Mytilus edulis: one gene and its partner. The protein of the gene in region 2 purifies or fractionates together with the protein of the main gene of each other region. This does not show direct contact. Links are inferred from orthologs where the notes say so. Each region holds a gene or a part of one and is shown on either strand. Other genes may lie near its edges.

Region 1 (8,521 bases), on a different chromosome or scaffold from region 2:
CCACTGAACATGGAAAATTATAGTGCGAGTGGGGCATTCTTGTACTATGGACACATTCTTGTTTTTTTAATTTTGATATAGTACAAGAACAGCAGAGATGTGCCTCTTTGCCTTGAAAGCAAATATTAATCATGTTTCAAACATCCAGCTCCAAACATATTCATAATAAGATCAATACAATCTGTACACAAAAAAATAAAAAGGAATAATAACCAAAATATTGGATGGTTCATGTACATGAACAACAGACCACACCAACTGAAATCCTACAAGACCTTCAATATGTTATTTACCGGTAATCAATTTGTTCGAAAAAATTTCTAAATTACATTTCTATTATAAAACAACCATGACAACAGAAAATCTGCAAATTGTGATTGTATAAAGACTCTGTGACCGGGACAAAATAAAATAAAAATATAAATCTAATTAAGGTGGTACCTAACACTTCAGGGAGATAACTCTGTAAAATCAGCAGAACGTTTTAATGACGTTGTGTTGTTAAGGGAATATTAAGCTTCTCAATGATCAAAATAAGTGTTTGCCAAACTGCTATATAACCAGTGTAATTACTCTGATTAAATGGTTGGTGAAATTTTCTTAAAATTTGTATATTTTTGTCAAAGGGTCAAAGTAAATATTTTGTCAAGATTTTAAGAAAATTAAACGAGCCAAATTAATTTTAGTTTAGGTGTTTGGTACCACCTTAAATCAAAATGTCAACCAATAATAGGATATAACTATCCAAACACTTTTCAATGGTGTTACCTAACATGCAAAACACAATAATTCAGAATATGCTTGACCATTGGACAATTTGAAAAATTATGAAGTAGGTGATTCTGATACAGATATTAGCTATTCACTTGTACCAATGTCTGATCCGATATATTTCAGTACCAAAATAACCATTAATTTTAAGACTATTTTTGTTTTGATTATTTGATAGTTATCAAAAGTACCAGGATTATAATTTTATACGCCAGACGCGCGTTTTGTCTACATAAGACTCATCAGTGACGCTCAGATCAAAATAGTTCAAAAAGCCAAATAAATACAAAGTTGAAGAGCATTGAGGACCCAAAATTCCAAAAAGTTGTGCCAAATACGGCTAAGTTAATCTACTCCTGGGGTAAGAAAATCCTTAGTTTTTCAAAAAATTCAAAGTTTTGTAAACAGAAAATTTATAAAAATGACTGTAGTTTTAATAAAAACATCATATTGCATCTGCTTGACTTATATATTGTTTTTAAGTAATGATTTTTACACAATAGTTTAAAACTGCAAAATTATGAAATTATCATGTTTACCTGTACATACTATAACCATGTTTGTGCTGAAATACTAAAACCCACATTTTTGCCCCAAGCTCTCAAGTCAGGAACTTCTAGCCTCTGTTAGTCTTGTGCTTTTTTTTAATTTTGGTTCATTTGTATGTTTTGAACTTCAGTATTGGGTCCATTTCACTGAAACAGTTTATATGTACATTATTGTTTAGTGACTAGCTGAAGCCAATTGAAGACACATTGGTCCCTATTATTTGCTTTCTAGTCTGACAGGTTGATGTCTCTTTGATATACTCCCATTCTAGCATATAACGAGTGTCAATCATAACAAATTTCCAAGATAACACCTGATTATAGAGTTACAAATACATGTAACTGACATGTGAATTTTTTTTCTGGAACTCTGTAAATTCTGTCTTAGAGAGTAATTTTATATGAATACCTTTGCATAAAACCAGGCAAACAAAACTGAAGGTAGACAGTATGTCTTTTACTTTGGATAGCCATGTTTGCATACACCATAAAAAATATGGGAAACTTCAAAATGTATACTAAATACTGACTTGTATATAAACACAATTTACATGTACAGTTAAGAACATTTTAACAAAAAGATACAAACTAAAAAAAAAAATTCACCCTGATTCTTATTTTGTTTTGTTATAGTAGTAAAATATATCATTTAATAGAGCATTTTATATAATAGCCAATGAGACAAGTAGATCCACCAGCTGATTTAAAATGTGATACTGATAGTAGCCAACACAAAATGAATAGTCCACTGTATTGCCTTCAACATTACACAATGAAGTAGTTTACTTTTAAAAATTGTTATTTTATTTATAAAACCACTACAATGTAAAGACAATTGATAATGCAAAAAGTGAGATCAAATGCATCTATTTATAATCATCATTCCAGTTTTCTTATTCTAAATTACAATCAACTGTAACTTAAACAAATTCTAAATTTAAAAAATGTAACAATGAAGCCAATAAAACAAGCAATTAAACTTAATCTATTTCCATGTTGTTGTTTTTTTGTATTTTTTTTAGCAAATTCTAATATTTATACATGTATATTTAATTTCTTATATATTTATCAAATAAATAAAATTAAGTATGGATCTATGGAATATGTCAAAGAGACAACATCCCAACAAAATAGCAGATAACAGAGGAAGGTCACAGATGGATCGTCAACACCATGAGAAAATCCCGCACCCAGAGGAGGCCTTCAACTGGCCCCTGAATAAAAATGTGAACCAGTTCAATGAAAATTAAATACCTGATAAATACAGGCACCATAAGGAATAAAAACCTAAATACCAGAAATGTCAGTATATGTATCTAAAATAAAATAAGATTGCCCATCTACCTAAATCATATTGACAAACAAACCAAATAACATTTTAGAGGGGGTAATCTAGTGTGGGTTTGTGGTCCTTGGGACCCAGACTGGTGTTTAAACTAAAATGGGTACTCTGGGGGCCACTGTTGGTCAAAGCTGCCCTTAACTTTGACCTGAAGATCAATCGACTGATATCTCTTCAGTTCGTCTGTTCCTGCAGTCACTTTGTTCAAGTACTTTGGCCTCCGCCAATAAAAGACTTTCCGATGTCCCATCACTACCTGTGAGTAGGCATTGGGCCAGGATAATTTGTCCTTGTAAATATCGTTGAAAATATGTAAGTGACACATGTATCTCCTCTACACAAATTCCACTGTACCCTTGAGGGTTGCTCAGAATAATGAAGGAATCTATTAGTACATACATAATCTAGTATCATATTCATGATCTGTTTTGACTTTTAAAATTCATAAATCATTATTTTTAGCAGGTTGAAAATGAACAGGTTGCGAACGAACCCTTTACATTTGTATATGGTGATTAGTCTTGTATAGAGGAATAATCCTTCTATAGATGGATAACCATGTAGAGGATTTGTTCCCAACCTCATGAACATCTCATATAAATATTCTAAAATGTCCTATGCATTATTTGGGCTGTTCAGGGCTATTGTCCAACCTGAAGCTGTGTAATCATAACTATTATAGTCCCTATTATATTTTATGACAATGTCAATGTTCCACAGCACCCAAACTGTTGTCTGATGAGGTTGTCTTTTTTTGTTTTGATCATGACACATAAACTCTTGATCTGTTAGTAGCAAATACTTACTGGCAATCTTTAACTACCTCCTCTTGTGTTCTAACTTGAACTGGAGCTATATGATCTACTTTGTCCTCGAAATTGCAGAAACATTTTGTGATTTTTTCATCAAATGTATTCACCAAATCTTCCAATGATTCAGACACCGTTTCCGCGAAGTTTTCAGAATGTTCACTTTCTTCATGAGCAGTTGACATGTCCGTGTTTAAAAGGCTACTTGTTTCACTTACACCTTGAAAATCACTATACTCTGCAAGTTCCTCATTCTCAAATTTTGCAAGTGGAGCCTCGAAATGTAGCTCCGCCATTTTCATTCCCCGCATCCTGACATCTCTGACCTTCACCTTTTAGATAATTTTTTTATTTAGACTGAAGTGTTCATTTCATTAGAAGAAAGACAACTCAACACAGGCACTTGTCTGAAAAAATCATGTGCACGGTACTATTTGGATCTCTTAAGCTATAAAGGAAAATTATTTTCGAGAGAAAGGTGCCTGTGCTGAAGCTGAAATGTAAAATAAATTTTCACAATTTATTAATAGACACGGCCATAGAAAGACAAAACAAGTGGCTCCTTTCACAAATATTTTATCTTGATTTTGTCTACAATATAAACAGAGACATAAAGGTCTCTGATATAATGTAATACAAATATTTCCTCAGTAATCATAAGATGTGCAAAGAATGTTTTGACGTTTATATTTTGCCAACATCACTTGGTCAATCGACACAAAAAGGGGTCTCGTCAAATAAAAATCATATGTTTCAAAACATTGACTGGCTTATCTAATTTTCAGATTCTCGAATTCCAATTATAATAATGTGGGAGGGATTGTTTATTTTATCACCAATTCATTCACTATTAACCATGCAGACTATATCTTGACGACCAGTTTTCGTGGCAGACCATCTTAGCAGTTGGGGTCATATTGTTAAACCCTCGTGTCATATTATGCAATGAACAGACTAGTTTCCTAAACTCCTTCTCATATTGAGCTGATATATAGTTTGAGAGTCTACGGTGAGTGCCAAATATTTTTTGTAGATTATTGGAGAGTCGTTTTATCGGCTATCAAACCACATCTTATTTTAATTGTATACAAACATTATAAATTAATTACTATCCAAACTTATCTGTGTCCACACTATATTGAGAAAAAAAAACTTTAACCCAAAATGTTAAACAAAAGTTAACTGCTAAAAGATTTGATCTATTTTTCAGAAAATAGAAGAGAAAAAATTCATTCAAATTTTAGGCTGGACATGATACAATATCTTTTGACAACGAAAGTCTTTCAAGACAGTCCAATTTTCTTTCCATAAAGGCTTGAAAAAAAGAAGTGTCTTGAAAAAAATTAACCATTTCATGCAACTTACTGTTATTAAACTGTGAAAAAGCTGAGTCAATTTAACAGTAAAATAGGGAAAAAATTAACAACCAAGTGCTCCGCAGGGCGCAGCTTTATACGACCGCAGAGGTCGAACCCTGAACAGTTGGGGCAAGTATGGACAAAACATTCAAGCGTGATACAGCTCTGAATTTGGATTGTGATCAAATTTTTGACATAACATGGTTTTTTTTTTACACAAAACAAATGTCAAGATTTTACAAATCAATTAAAGATTTCTTCTTCAAACTTTTTAAATCTAAAATTAAATAGTTGACACAGCATAGGTTTCTGACACAGAATGAATGTGGTCTAATGAACTAACTAATTTTTTTTGCCTATGAGCAATTCACTATGCTGTTGAATATTAATCCTCTCAAAAAATGTTTGAAGAAATTTTCTTTTTATTTATGAAATCTGAAATGAGAAAAATTTAACCCCCCCCCCCCTTTTTTTCACATCACCGTTTTCCTTTTTCCAAAACTGATATCAATTCAAATTTCTAATGGAGTTTGCAACAATAACTACTCTTTTAAATACATCATAAAATATTAAAATGTAAAATAAAGTGCTTGTTATCACTGAATGGTAAAGATTGGTTGGTAGTAAAAGTGAATATACATTGTTTATTGTATAAAACAATAAAAAAAACTTCATCAGCAACATTTTATATTGGCAAATTTCCAATGAAGTTATTTACATAAAGTTATTGGCAAATAAAAATAGAAAATGACATCATAGTCATGTCTGGCAAATGTCCAACATACATTATCTAAAAACATTTTAGATAAGATAAGGAAAAAAAGCTTCATCAGCAACATTTTATATTGGCAAATTTCCAATGAAGTTATTTACATAAAGTTATTGGCAAATAAAAATAGAAAATGACATCATAGTCATGTCTGGCAAATTTCCAACATATATTATCAACTACTATTCTATACAAAGAAAGATAACTCCAATTGAAAATTAATTGCTATTGCACAATATTGTGCAATTAAATTTCTTGCTATTGTGCAATACTGTGCAATTGAAAATTTCTTGCTATTGCACAATACTTGATATGGAATCCTGATTTGGACCAACTTGAAAATTGGGCCCATAATCAAAAATCAAAGTACATATTTAGATAAAGCATATCAAATAAGCCCAAGAATTTAATTTTTGTTAAAATCAAACTTAGTTTAATTTTGGACCCTTTGGACCTTAATGTAGACAAATTTGAACACTGGACCAAAATTAAGAATCTACATACAGTTAGATTTGGCATATCAAAGAACCCATTTATTCAATTTTTGATGAAATCAAACAAAGTTTAATTTTGGACCCCCATTTGGACCAACTTGAAAACTAGGCCAATATTAAATTAAAAATCTAAGTACATTTTTAAATTCAGCATATCAAAGAACCCCAAGGATTCAATTTTTGTTAAAATCAAACTAAGTTTAATTTTGGACCCTTTGGACCTTAATGTAGACCAATTAGAAAACTGGACCAAAAATTAAGAATCTACATACATAGTTAGATTCGGCATATCAAAGAACCCCAATTATTCAATTTTTGATGAAATCACACAAAGTTCAATTTTGGACCCTTTGGGCTCCTTATTCCTAACCTGTTAGGACCAAAACTCCAAAAATCATACCCAACCTTCCTTTTATGGTCATAAACCTTGTGTTTAAATTTCATTGATTTCTATTTACTAATACTAAAGTTATTGTGCGAAAACCAAGAATAATGCTTATTTGGGCCCTTTTTTGGCCCTTTTAAATTCCTAAACTGTTGGAACCAAAACTCCCAAAATCAATCCTAACCTTCCTTTTGTGGTCATAAACCTTGTGTCAAAATTTCATAGATTTCTATTCACTTAAACTAAAGTTATAGTGTGAAAACCAAGAAAATGCTTATTTGGGCCCTTTTTGGCCCCTAATTCCTAAAATGTTGGGACCAAAACTCCCAAAATCAATCCCAACCTTCCTTTTGTGGTCATAAACCTTGTGTTAAAATTTCATTGATTTCTATTCACTTTTACTAAAGTTAGAGTGCGAAAACTAAAAGTATTCGGACGACAACGCAGACGCCAACGTGATAGCAATATACGACCAAAAAATTAAAATTTTTGCGGTCGTATAAAAATGATTTTCAAAATTTACCCCGGACAGTGTCTTTTGAGCATTCAAAAAGTCTTATGATCAAGGTTTGACAGAGATATTGATGTCATTTATAAAGTTTTACTTGGACACATACAAAGACAGACTGTAGGAAGTCCTATGTCTGCCAAGTCTTGTCTCTGAAAAATAGTGACCATGTTGCTTTAACATGATATAGTTTGAGCCATTTAATCTTAATTGGAGTGTTGACTTGCAAATGATAAGACAAGTGCATACCAAATATTAACATTAACTTGGTTAATATTCATATCATAAACTTTGCAACATTCTGTCAATACCATAATAGACAGGTGGAGCAACATAAACTCAATGGAAATGAGATGTGACAATGCCAATTCATCTGCATAACAAGAGTATAATTGAGTGGTTCTCTTTAAACTGACCTAATCATTAACTAATTTTGTTTCATCGACAATGGAAATAGCATGTCTTAAGTTTTGCTTTTTTGAGTTTGAGACTGCTTATAAATGATAACGCTTTGATATTTGATAACCATAGAATTGTTGTTTCAATAAAATAATGAAAATTCTACACCCATGCTAAATATTTGTTCAAATTATATCAGTATAAAGCAATCTGGCACTCTCATGAGAAGAAACATGTAATGTACTGTGTGCGATTGCACCCAGAATGTTGTTTTCAATGTAATTAACGGTTCAAACCAATGTAACATGATTAATTTATGTTTTAACTGGTTTTTAACTAGCTCACTATTTAACAAATTTTGTCATTATTAAGATCATTCAAGTTGTGCCTTTACACACCACTGTCCCATGTGAGTGAACAATAGAGATTTGCAAATATGGAATTTGCTTATTGTTGAAGGGTTTTCAGTGACCTATAGCAGTTAATTTCTGTGTCATTTGGTCTCTTGTGTCGAGTTGTCTTATTGGCAATATCATATATTTATATATTAATCTAGTTGCATTTTGAATGCATCTGTCCCTAGTCAGGAGCATGTAATTAAGTTGTGGTCCTTGGTCGTTTATTTTGTTGAAACTTTTTTTTTAGTTTGAAAAGTTTAACATTTTGTCATGTGAGTTTTTCAATTATATTGTATGAGTATTATTCATTTTTGAATGCCATACAGTGACATTTTAATGCTATGTCTATATGTTTTATTCTCTGGTGGTTGACTCGTTGGTTATCATTCTTATTTTATATAAACTTTGACTTGTCTCAGCAACCACAGAGTAACAGGATCCACAGGTCGGGTAAAATTCAGTATTCTTTGATTTTATCAGTTTGAATGGGTTTCCCTTTTTTTAAAATAGCCTTGGAATTTGTTTTTTTCAATACTTTTTTTTCTGTCAATATATCAGAAATTAAGCCTTGGAATTTGTTTTTTTCAATACTTTTTTTTCTGTCAAAATATCAGAAATTATCTCATAAGTGACAAATAATATGTTATTTGAAATAATATAAATGCCACTTGAGATTTTTTTGGTAAATAAATAAAACGAGCTTTAAATGCCTTAATCTGAAACTTATATTGACTGGCTTA
Region 2 (9,128 bases):
CAGATTCATTCTACAACTACATGCATAATATATTTCTAATTTACAAGTATTGTTTTCATAAAAGTATGTTCCTCCCTAAATTAAATCCAAATCCCTAAATAAAGGTCTCAAAGCTATATGAATCATACTAATAATATATATATATATGAAGCATCAGATGATCCATAATATTCTTCTGACATCGGACTCAGACTTCTCTTGAACTGAATTTTAATGTGTGTATTGTTATACGTTTAATTTCTACATTGGCTAGAGGTATAGGGGAGGGTTGAGATCTTATAAACATGTTTAACCCTGCCGCAATTTTGCGCCTGTCCCAAGTCAGGAGCCTCTGGCCTTTGTCTTGTATGATGTCCATTATCACTGTACTAGTATACATATTTTTTAGGGGGCCAGCTGAAGAACGGCTACGGATACGGGAGTTTCTGGCTACATTGAAGACCCATTGGTGGCCTTTGGCTGTTGTCTGCTCTATGGTCGGGTTGTTATCGCTTTGATACATTCCCTATCTCCTTTCTCAATTTTATTCTGAATATAAACTTGCTTTTTTGTATACTGTTACATGCATGTTAATGTTACTTACATTTGTTTACTCAGAAAGGCAATTCAACAGGACATTCCAAGATTCATACCATTTAATGTGTTGTATCATTTACTTATGTACAGTAAAAGATACTCTCTCAGTTCAGTTGCCTATTAAAAGTATTTGCTCCTGTATCTTTAGGGAAAAGATAAATTATATAGAACAAACACATTACTTACCAGCGACAATCGTTTTAGCAGTTGTATTATATACATCTTCCTGGGAAACATTTGGTTGCAGTATTTTGTCAAAAATAAACAATTTTCCCTAAAAAAAAAATGTTAACTTAATCAATGAACAAGTATTTCAAATAATTAAAATTATATGCAACAGATAGTACAAATCAAATTCTGGTTTATTCTGTAATATATTATGTTAAATCTAGCTTTAATACATATACATACATGTATGATACAATACAAACAAAATGAGATCAGGATCCAGTAGGAACTGACGACTCCGTGGTAAAAACAGTTTAGAAAGGAAAACAACTACCACAAATGACTACATGAAGCAGCAAGCAACCAACAACTAAGGAATTACTGTAAAGCTACATTAACTTCCTAACTGTAGCAAATTCAAACTAGACAGTATGTGTCTCTTATTTCAAGATAAACAATAATTGTTGAATTGGTATTGTTATTATGCCAGTTCTGATTTTTTATCAACAATGACAAAATTTTTAAATGTATATTTATGATTTAGGTCATGAAAACAATTGTATAGAAATGATTAGATCCAGGAAACATTGATCAATGGCCAATCACTTTTAAACAATGTCTTTCTATTTGTATCCATCTGATGAGTTGAGCCTTTTTTAACTGACTTTCAAAGTTCGTTCTAAAAATTTTCAATTGACAATATCAGATGCATCAAATCATGAAAACAGAGTTTTTTGGGTTATATCAATCAGTTTTCTGGTTAAACCTGTGCTCGGAAGTTTTCACATAATCTAAGCTATTATTCTAGGTAATGGTGGTGGTGTGGTTGCTATGAAATAATATGCAAGGAAATCTTCATACAAATCATCGATCATTTAAAAAAAAATAGTTACAAAGGCATGAAGAACAGCAACTAATGTGCTGTCCTGTTACTTTTCATAAATTATATGCTGTTCGTGTACTAATTTTGTGTAATGGATGCATGGATGGATACCTTATATATTTTTCTATTATATATTACAAATTTATAGATTTTATTAGTATTGAAACTGGAGCTACAATGTATTTCAGGCAACAACTTTTACAAGCCCATAATTTTCAGTCCCTAATCACATCTGCTGACAACACTGTACTGTTTTATAAATAACAGGGCTTTCAATAGAATTAGAAGGCTGAAACTAAAAAATAACCAACATGCTGGTGGGGACGACAAAGGCTCTAGGTTATTTTAAAAGTAAAATCCTCCCTGCATTCTAGAAGTCTCCTGGCACAAAAATACAACTTTCAGATTGCCATGTTTTTGAATGAAGTTTTTATTTTTCATAAATTTTGTTTAAATTACATTATTAAAATTTTGAAGTATACCATATTAAATTACCAAGCTAGCAATGGGTAATGTCGCTATGTAAATGTTTAACCATCACACATGATGTGCAATTGTACACCAATTAAAAAGGACTTGTTGATTGCCCAATCAGGTTTTGTCTTACAAACAATTCTCGGAATGACAACAACTGGTAACTACTATTGTTGCACAACTCTTACGGAGAGACTGACACACATAAACAATAACACAACAATAATTTAAGGTTTAAAATAGAACTACGGTCAACATATCGATCTCATTTTTGTGTAATTTAAATAAAATACTTTAGGACAAAGAAGACTGCCAAATAGACAACTTTCGAGTTCTATGCATTTCTGTCAAAAAGTTTGGTTTAAGTGAACATCATTCGTGCGTATAGGGGAGTCTTCACTTCTGTTCAAATGTTGAGCAAGTGATTGGAAAACTATAAAGCTATATTACACAAACTATTCAGCAAATTGAATTCTCATAATAAGACTAAGACGCTTGATGAACGTTTATAGTGAAGGGATACAGGTGATCCCCTCTATCTGGTAAAAGACATCATAAAGGTGCGCATAATTGATGGACACCCTCGAAAGTGGTCTATTCCATGATCTTTCATGCTACATGTATAGACAAAATAGACGAAGGAAATCACAATACTGGCTTCTATTTAAAGCCCTAGTTTAAAGTTGAAGCTGTAGCATTTTCAAAAGAAAAAAAATTAAATATTCATTTTTGCATGTATAAATCACTTACATTTATATTTATAGAGTCATCTGTTGGAAACTTCAAGATAAACTTGCTGCCAACTTTTTCTTCAGAGGAATTTAATGGTCGGACCCTGCTAATAACTCTGATGCTGCATTCATCAGGAGTAGGCCCTGGTGGCCCTGGTGGAGCAGGTGACTGCTGTGTCGCCATTGTTTACGATACAAATTTAATTTGTAAACATCAATTTATAATGTAATGTATGTGAATCACACCATCATGAATATATCATGAGCTGAATAAACAGAAAATTAGCCAGTGAAAATGCAGTTGGAAAGAGTTACAAGAAAGATATCTTAAGCGAATTGGATATATCAATGAACTACTAAGCAGAAAATAGAGCAAAATGTATTAGGATGACACGGCGATCGCCTTGAACACACTATTTTTATAACGTCCGAACAAAATCTCCTCCTTCTTCCATCATTGCTGTTGAATGATGGGAAATGACGTTTGCGAGAAATCGAACTTCTCTAGACGTTTCTTTAATTCCATATAAAAGCTCGAAATTACCCGAATAAGATATTTCCCGCGGAATCTCTAATTTTAGCTTTGCAATGTTTGCGGACTAGATAAGATTAGATAGGAAAATTTATTTTAAATCGGGTTACACGAAATACTACAAACATAAGCTCTATAGAGCTTTTTCGTAGAGACAGCTTTATTGCATAAGTATAAGCAAAGTTCATATATATAAAAGCAAGCACGAATTAAACTAGATTATAAGCGTGACATGCAAAGAAGACAAATACATAAGCTTAACTAGTTCTAAAAGTAGAATGAACTTGAAACATAAAAAAAAATCAAATTGTCTATGTTTGTATATCTTGCCGACTCTAAATAAAGCTTATTCATTATTATTATTATGGTTCAGATTCGACTGCGCACATATCGCGTCAGGCAGCTCATTCCAGAGTGTACCGTACTTCCAACTTCCGAAGCAAGGTTGTCGGCTCGTTCTTGTATTTTTTTCAATATATTTTTTAGTGTTACCCTCCCCACAAAAATGCCAAACAACGGGACAATAGTTGAAATTTGACATAATATATGAATGATGATTAGTTAACCTTCCCAATTTAGATAGATGTTTCCCAATTCTTTTTAGTACATTTAACTGCCTTGATGCTTTTTTACAAATTTCAGAAATATGTGTTTTAAACTTGAGTTGATAATCTATTGTCACTCCCAGGAGCTTTACCTCAGTGTCACATGAAATTTCATTCTCATCAAAATTGAATTTAATATCCCCACTTTTAGATTTATAGCCAATGGCAATAGCTTGAAATTTATCCGGATTAGCTTTCATTTTGTTATTAGCAAACCAATCTATTAAAACTGCACTTTCCTTTCCCAAGATTTAACTAATCCGTTTATAGCTGGTCCTGAGTGTGACAATGTATTATTATCTGCATAGTTTTACAACTCATTTTCATTTACAAAATTGAAAATGTCGTTTATAAAAATTTTGAAAAGCACAGGACCCGATATTGACCCCTGCGGTACATCTTTATAAATGTTTTTCCAGGTGCTAAAATATGCAACCACTTTAACACATTGTTTTCTGTTCGACAGATAGTTGTCGTTAAGTTTAACGTCATCATTTGACTGGCCATATGCCTTCAACTTTAATAACAGTAACGGACTCTCAAAAAGTTTTTATAAATGAATAATAGAAAATACGGAAGTCAATATTTTCTAGAATAAGATATTTCCCGCTGAATCTCCAAGTTAATAATAGTTTGTTTGTTTGTTTAGACAAACAGAAACATATGTATATTGTATAATCATGGACTATTAGGGGTCTCAAGTTGGGGGGGTTCTGATCCCGGATCCCGTTTACTGTTTTGTCAGATTTCCGTATCCCGCTTACACTAAGTATGAAAGCAATAATATCTCATTTTTCCGCTAGACATCATTTCCCGTTTTCACGGCACAATCATTTGACTTTCACGTGTCACGCTTACAAAAAATCGGCAATACCGCGTCACGCTTAGACCCCAATGAGACCCACCTTTTATACTAATTTATAAATAATGAAAATACAGGGTTTTTTGTTTTTGTTAAGAATGTTCGTTCGGATCAAATTTCAACTATTTATTGATATATTTTGTATCTCAGGCTTCCAACATTTTCAGGACAGTGGCGGTGTAGCTAGCCGGTTTACCCCCCCCCCCCAACCCCACCCCCCCCCCCCCCCAAAAAAAGAAGGCCGGACATATATTGTACAAGTTTATGGTTGCACTGATGTATTCCTGATATGTTTGTGTACAAAATGATACATATGAGGGGGTCACATATAGAAAGAAACGAAGAACTTATTGATTATTAAATTAAACTTGTTAAAACACATTTTTGAGGGTATGATAACAGTTTCAGTGTTGTCGCATTTGACTTTTGTATATATATGAAAACTTAAATAGATGGTGACAAATTATTCGCAGCTAAATCATCAGCAAACCAGGATCTACAAAAAAAGGCTATTTCAAAGAAATAACGTGTGTGATAGTAAACTTGAAATATTCAAACGTCCTGAACATACCAAACTGACATATAACATAAGTCCTTGACCGAAATCGTTAATGTACTCTCTATAAGAGTTATTGTCGTGAAATACACACCTTTACCGTTGATTTTTTTTGTGCTTTTACCTTCACTCTAGTTTGAATATAGACCTATGTTAGATGAGAACGATATATATTTGATTTTTTTAGTATGATTATCTTGATCTATAAAGTTCTGTTTATTCTTTTACAATTTGGATATTAGTAAATTCCCTTTTTTCTCCTTAAAAGATTTGATGATAAAAAATATCATATCTACATTGTTTACCCTTTTGCCCGGATAGTTTATGATGTAAATAGCAGATATTGGAATAGTTTCAACATCCCTCATTCAGATCGAAACTATAAGTCAAACTCAGTTTTAAAAAAAGTCAAGCGCAGATATAAGTAAAGTGTTTTATTTTGGAAGGGACAACTGATGCCTTGTCAATCTAATTATAATTAAGATATTGATCTCTAATTTTGTTATACTATATATGACTGATATGTAGTTTAACGAAATCAGAGATCAATATTTTAATTAGATTGGATGCTTTGTAAAACCCTTAACTCTTATTCAAGCAATATCTCAATTAGTTTCTCTAATGCAAAAAGTTCTGTTTATCCTACATGAGCACATGCAGAAGTTTGACCTGGCCTGTTTTGGCTGAGATTTGTGTTGTTCAATATTACGGTCTTTTGTATTGTGTTTCGTTTTCTGTTATTTGTCTTTTCGTCGTATTTTCAGTCTTTTAATTTTGGTCATATTGTGCATCTGGGATATAAGACATATAATATTCTGTTGTTTTTTTTTGTACAAACCTATAGGATCTGATTTACATACATATAGGCCTACTTGAAGTAAACTATTCTCTTGTACACTTGGACACATAACTTTGTTGTAAAAAAATATGCATCTGTAATCCAAAGTGTTGACATTGTAGACAAAATCCGACAAGGTTGCATGTGTCAGAACACACTTTAAAGATTGAAAAGGGAAGATATCAGGGCAATCCTCGACACGAAATAGCTTGTCATAGATGCTTAGGTCTGAGGTTGAGATGGTTTTACTTCTTCTTTTTTTACCTCAATAAATAATTAGAGAAGCAAACAATTACAAATTTGTCCCAGGAAATGATATCCAACTTTGACATTTTAACTATTAAGGATCTATGATTTTTGTTGTTGATTTTTTTCTCCCTCAGAGCATTGGGACAAGTTGTACTAGAGGCTGCATATAAATCCAAGTAATGTTTGCGCTTATTTTTTTATTTCAACAATGTTTTTTGAGAGCCTGTATTTAGGCAACAGCTGCTTATCAGGACTAGATCATAAGTTTTTGAACATAAGTTTAAAGATGTATTGTAAAGTGCTTTAAACAATATCCGGCTTCGGTTTAGTTGCTTGAGTGTCCTTTAAGCAACTACAATATTTGTGCATATACACTAGCCTTGCGGAGGACTTCGCATTGCAACAGGTTAATATCACAGTTCCAGATCACCACTGATTCATATATATTTATATGAAAATTAGGGAATATAAAAAGCTGTTTTACTTTATATATTTATATATCTATATCAAATACAGGGACGAATTGTCAATAGGGTAGAATTGTCAATGCAGTAATAGGATATCGGTACACTTATATTAAATATTGGGTACGAATTGGTAAAGGTACGAGTTAACGTGTAACCAAGTCATATGATCTAATCACATGACTTCAACAAAACATTGAAAATGGCGACTTACATGTTTCGTCCAACTTTCACTTTCGTCTTTTTATTTATGATCATACATGCACTAAAGGTATTTGTTACACAAGTTAACTTATATTTTGGTTCAAAACATTTAAAATTTTAGATTAGTGTTCTCAAACATCTTTCAGAGGAGTGAAAACAAATTTTAATCAAATCAAATCAATACTCAATCTAACAAAATTCATGATCATTCATATATCAAATCAAATCAAATTTTTGGACCAAAGAGCCAGTGTGAGCTAATATGAGGCAGGCACTACCTGTAAATGGGGACGAAGTCTGTATGAATTATTTTTTTGTAACTTAAATATTTTGTTTAAAAAAAAAGAAACGGAAATACCGTAATGTTTCCGATTTTGGTTCTGTTGTAAGGGATTTAGTTGTGACGTCATTTAAATTATGACGTCATATGCAATGTAAACAAAGAAACGCTATCATCAGGTAACGTTTTTTCATATCAAGGAATTATTAAAAATGAAATTGGTATTGCACGTTCCTTCCTATTTTATACTAGACTGATAAATATATATTTTACTCAAAGTTTCATACAAACGAGACCGGAAAAAGGAAGTACATTGTACATTTCTGCGCAGGTCCAGGATTTCAAAACACGACAAAAAAAATTTGAACGATTTTGAGTTCATTAGTACAATGAAAAATTCGGGAAATTTTCCCGTATTTTTTTTTTATTGAATTTTCTACTGTTATTGGGGACTCCGTCCCCATATTAATTCAATAATTGTCATCAATTGTCATTGTCCTTGTCTGACAACAATTACAAATATCTTGCAAATAATTGATAGTTTTTATACAACTGCAAATTTTTTTGTGATCATATATTGGTATCACGTACATGACGTAGTCGTCCTCGTCCTCGTCGTCTGAAGACATTTGGTTTCCGGACAATAACTTTAGTATAAGTAAATAGAAATCTCTGAAATTTAAACACAAGGTTAATTATATCCACAAAAAGAAAGTTTGGATTGATTTTTGGGGTTATGCCTTATTGTCCCAACAATTTAGGAATTAAGAGGCCCAAATATGCTTTTTTCTAGTTCCAGACAATAAATTGTGTTGAAGTGTATGGATCTCTCTGAAATAATACCTCAAGTTTCCAGACTACAAACGGATGGTTAAGATTGGGTTTGGGGGGTTATGGTTCAAACTGTATATGAATTAGGGGCAAAAAAGGGGGAAAACAAGGGTTTCCTGGTTAATTGAGAATTAAGACAATTTTTGGATTACCTCCCTAACACTGCATTTAAATTATGTACAAAGAAATGTATTGTTTTGAGGTGATTAGCTGTCAATTTACTTTAAGAATTATGCTGATTAAGGAATATTAATATCAATGTTAATACTTTTATGATGTATTTAATGGGTAATTATGGTTGCAAACTCAAATGGAAATTTGAATTGAGATTATAACATTACTCGAGGGAAAGGAAAAGGGTGGGGGAGGTGAAAAAAATTGGGGGGGGGGGGGGGGGGGGGGAGAGAAGTTGTAGGGGCAATTTTTTTCAATTCAGATTTCAGAAATTTAAATGAAAATTTCTTCATATTTTTTTTTGTGCAAATATGCAACATCATAGTGTATTGCATAAAATTAAAAAAAAAAGTTTTTTTTAATTTTTATTTGAGAGGGGAGGAAAATTCACAACAGCATAGTGTATTGCACAAAAGCAAAAAATTGAGTATAAATTCAAATCATATTCATTAAATCAATTCAAGTTCTTCGACTTTATTCTGTGTCAGAAACCTATTATGTGTCAAATTTTTAATTACAATCCAAATTCAGACCTGTATCAAGCGTTAAATATTGTGTCCATTTTTGCCCCAACTGTTCAGGGTTGGACCCCTGCAGTCGTATCCAGCTGCACTCGGCAAAGCAATTTATTAACTGTAATGAATAGAATGAAATAACATCCACACTGTTATGAATTAGATTCTAATTAATTTTCCATTATA

The links.
Region 1: the proteins of kinesin heavy chain-like (region 2) and fasciculation and elongation protein zeta-2-like purify together in Drosophila melanogaster (affinity purification with western blotting; 3 studies listed by BioGRID). This does not show direct contact. The link is inferred for Mytilus edulis from reciprocal best matches to the Drosophila melanogaster genes Khc and Unc-76.

The regions. Positions count from the first base shown.
Region 1 is NC_092346.1:56,389,804-56,398,324, reverse strand, and holds the start of fasciculation and elongation protein zeta-2-like, read right to left. Parts: upstream 4,005-8,521; 5' UTR 3,782-4,004; coding exon 3,468-3,781; intron 1-3,467.
Region 2 is NC_092345.1:94,134,977-94,144,104, forward strand, and holds the start of kinesin heavy chain-like, read right to left. Parts: upstream 3,379-9,128; 5' UTR 3,017-3,378; coding exon 2,852-3,016; intron 851-2,851; coding exon 763-850; intron 1-762. Other genes in the region: beta-galactosidase-like, read left to right, coding at 7,141-7,209. UniProt on the Drosophila melanogaster protein: Kinesin is a microtubule-associated force-producing protein that may play a role in organelle transport. Milt and Miro form an essential protein complex that links Khc to mitochondria for light chain-independent, anterograde transport of mitochondria.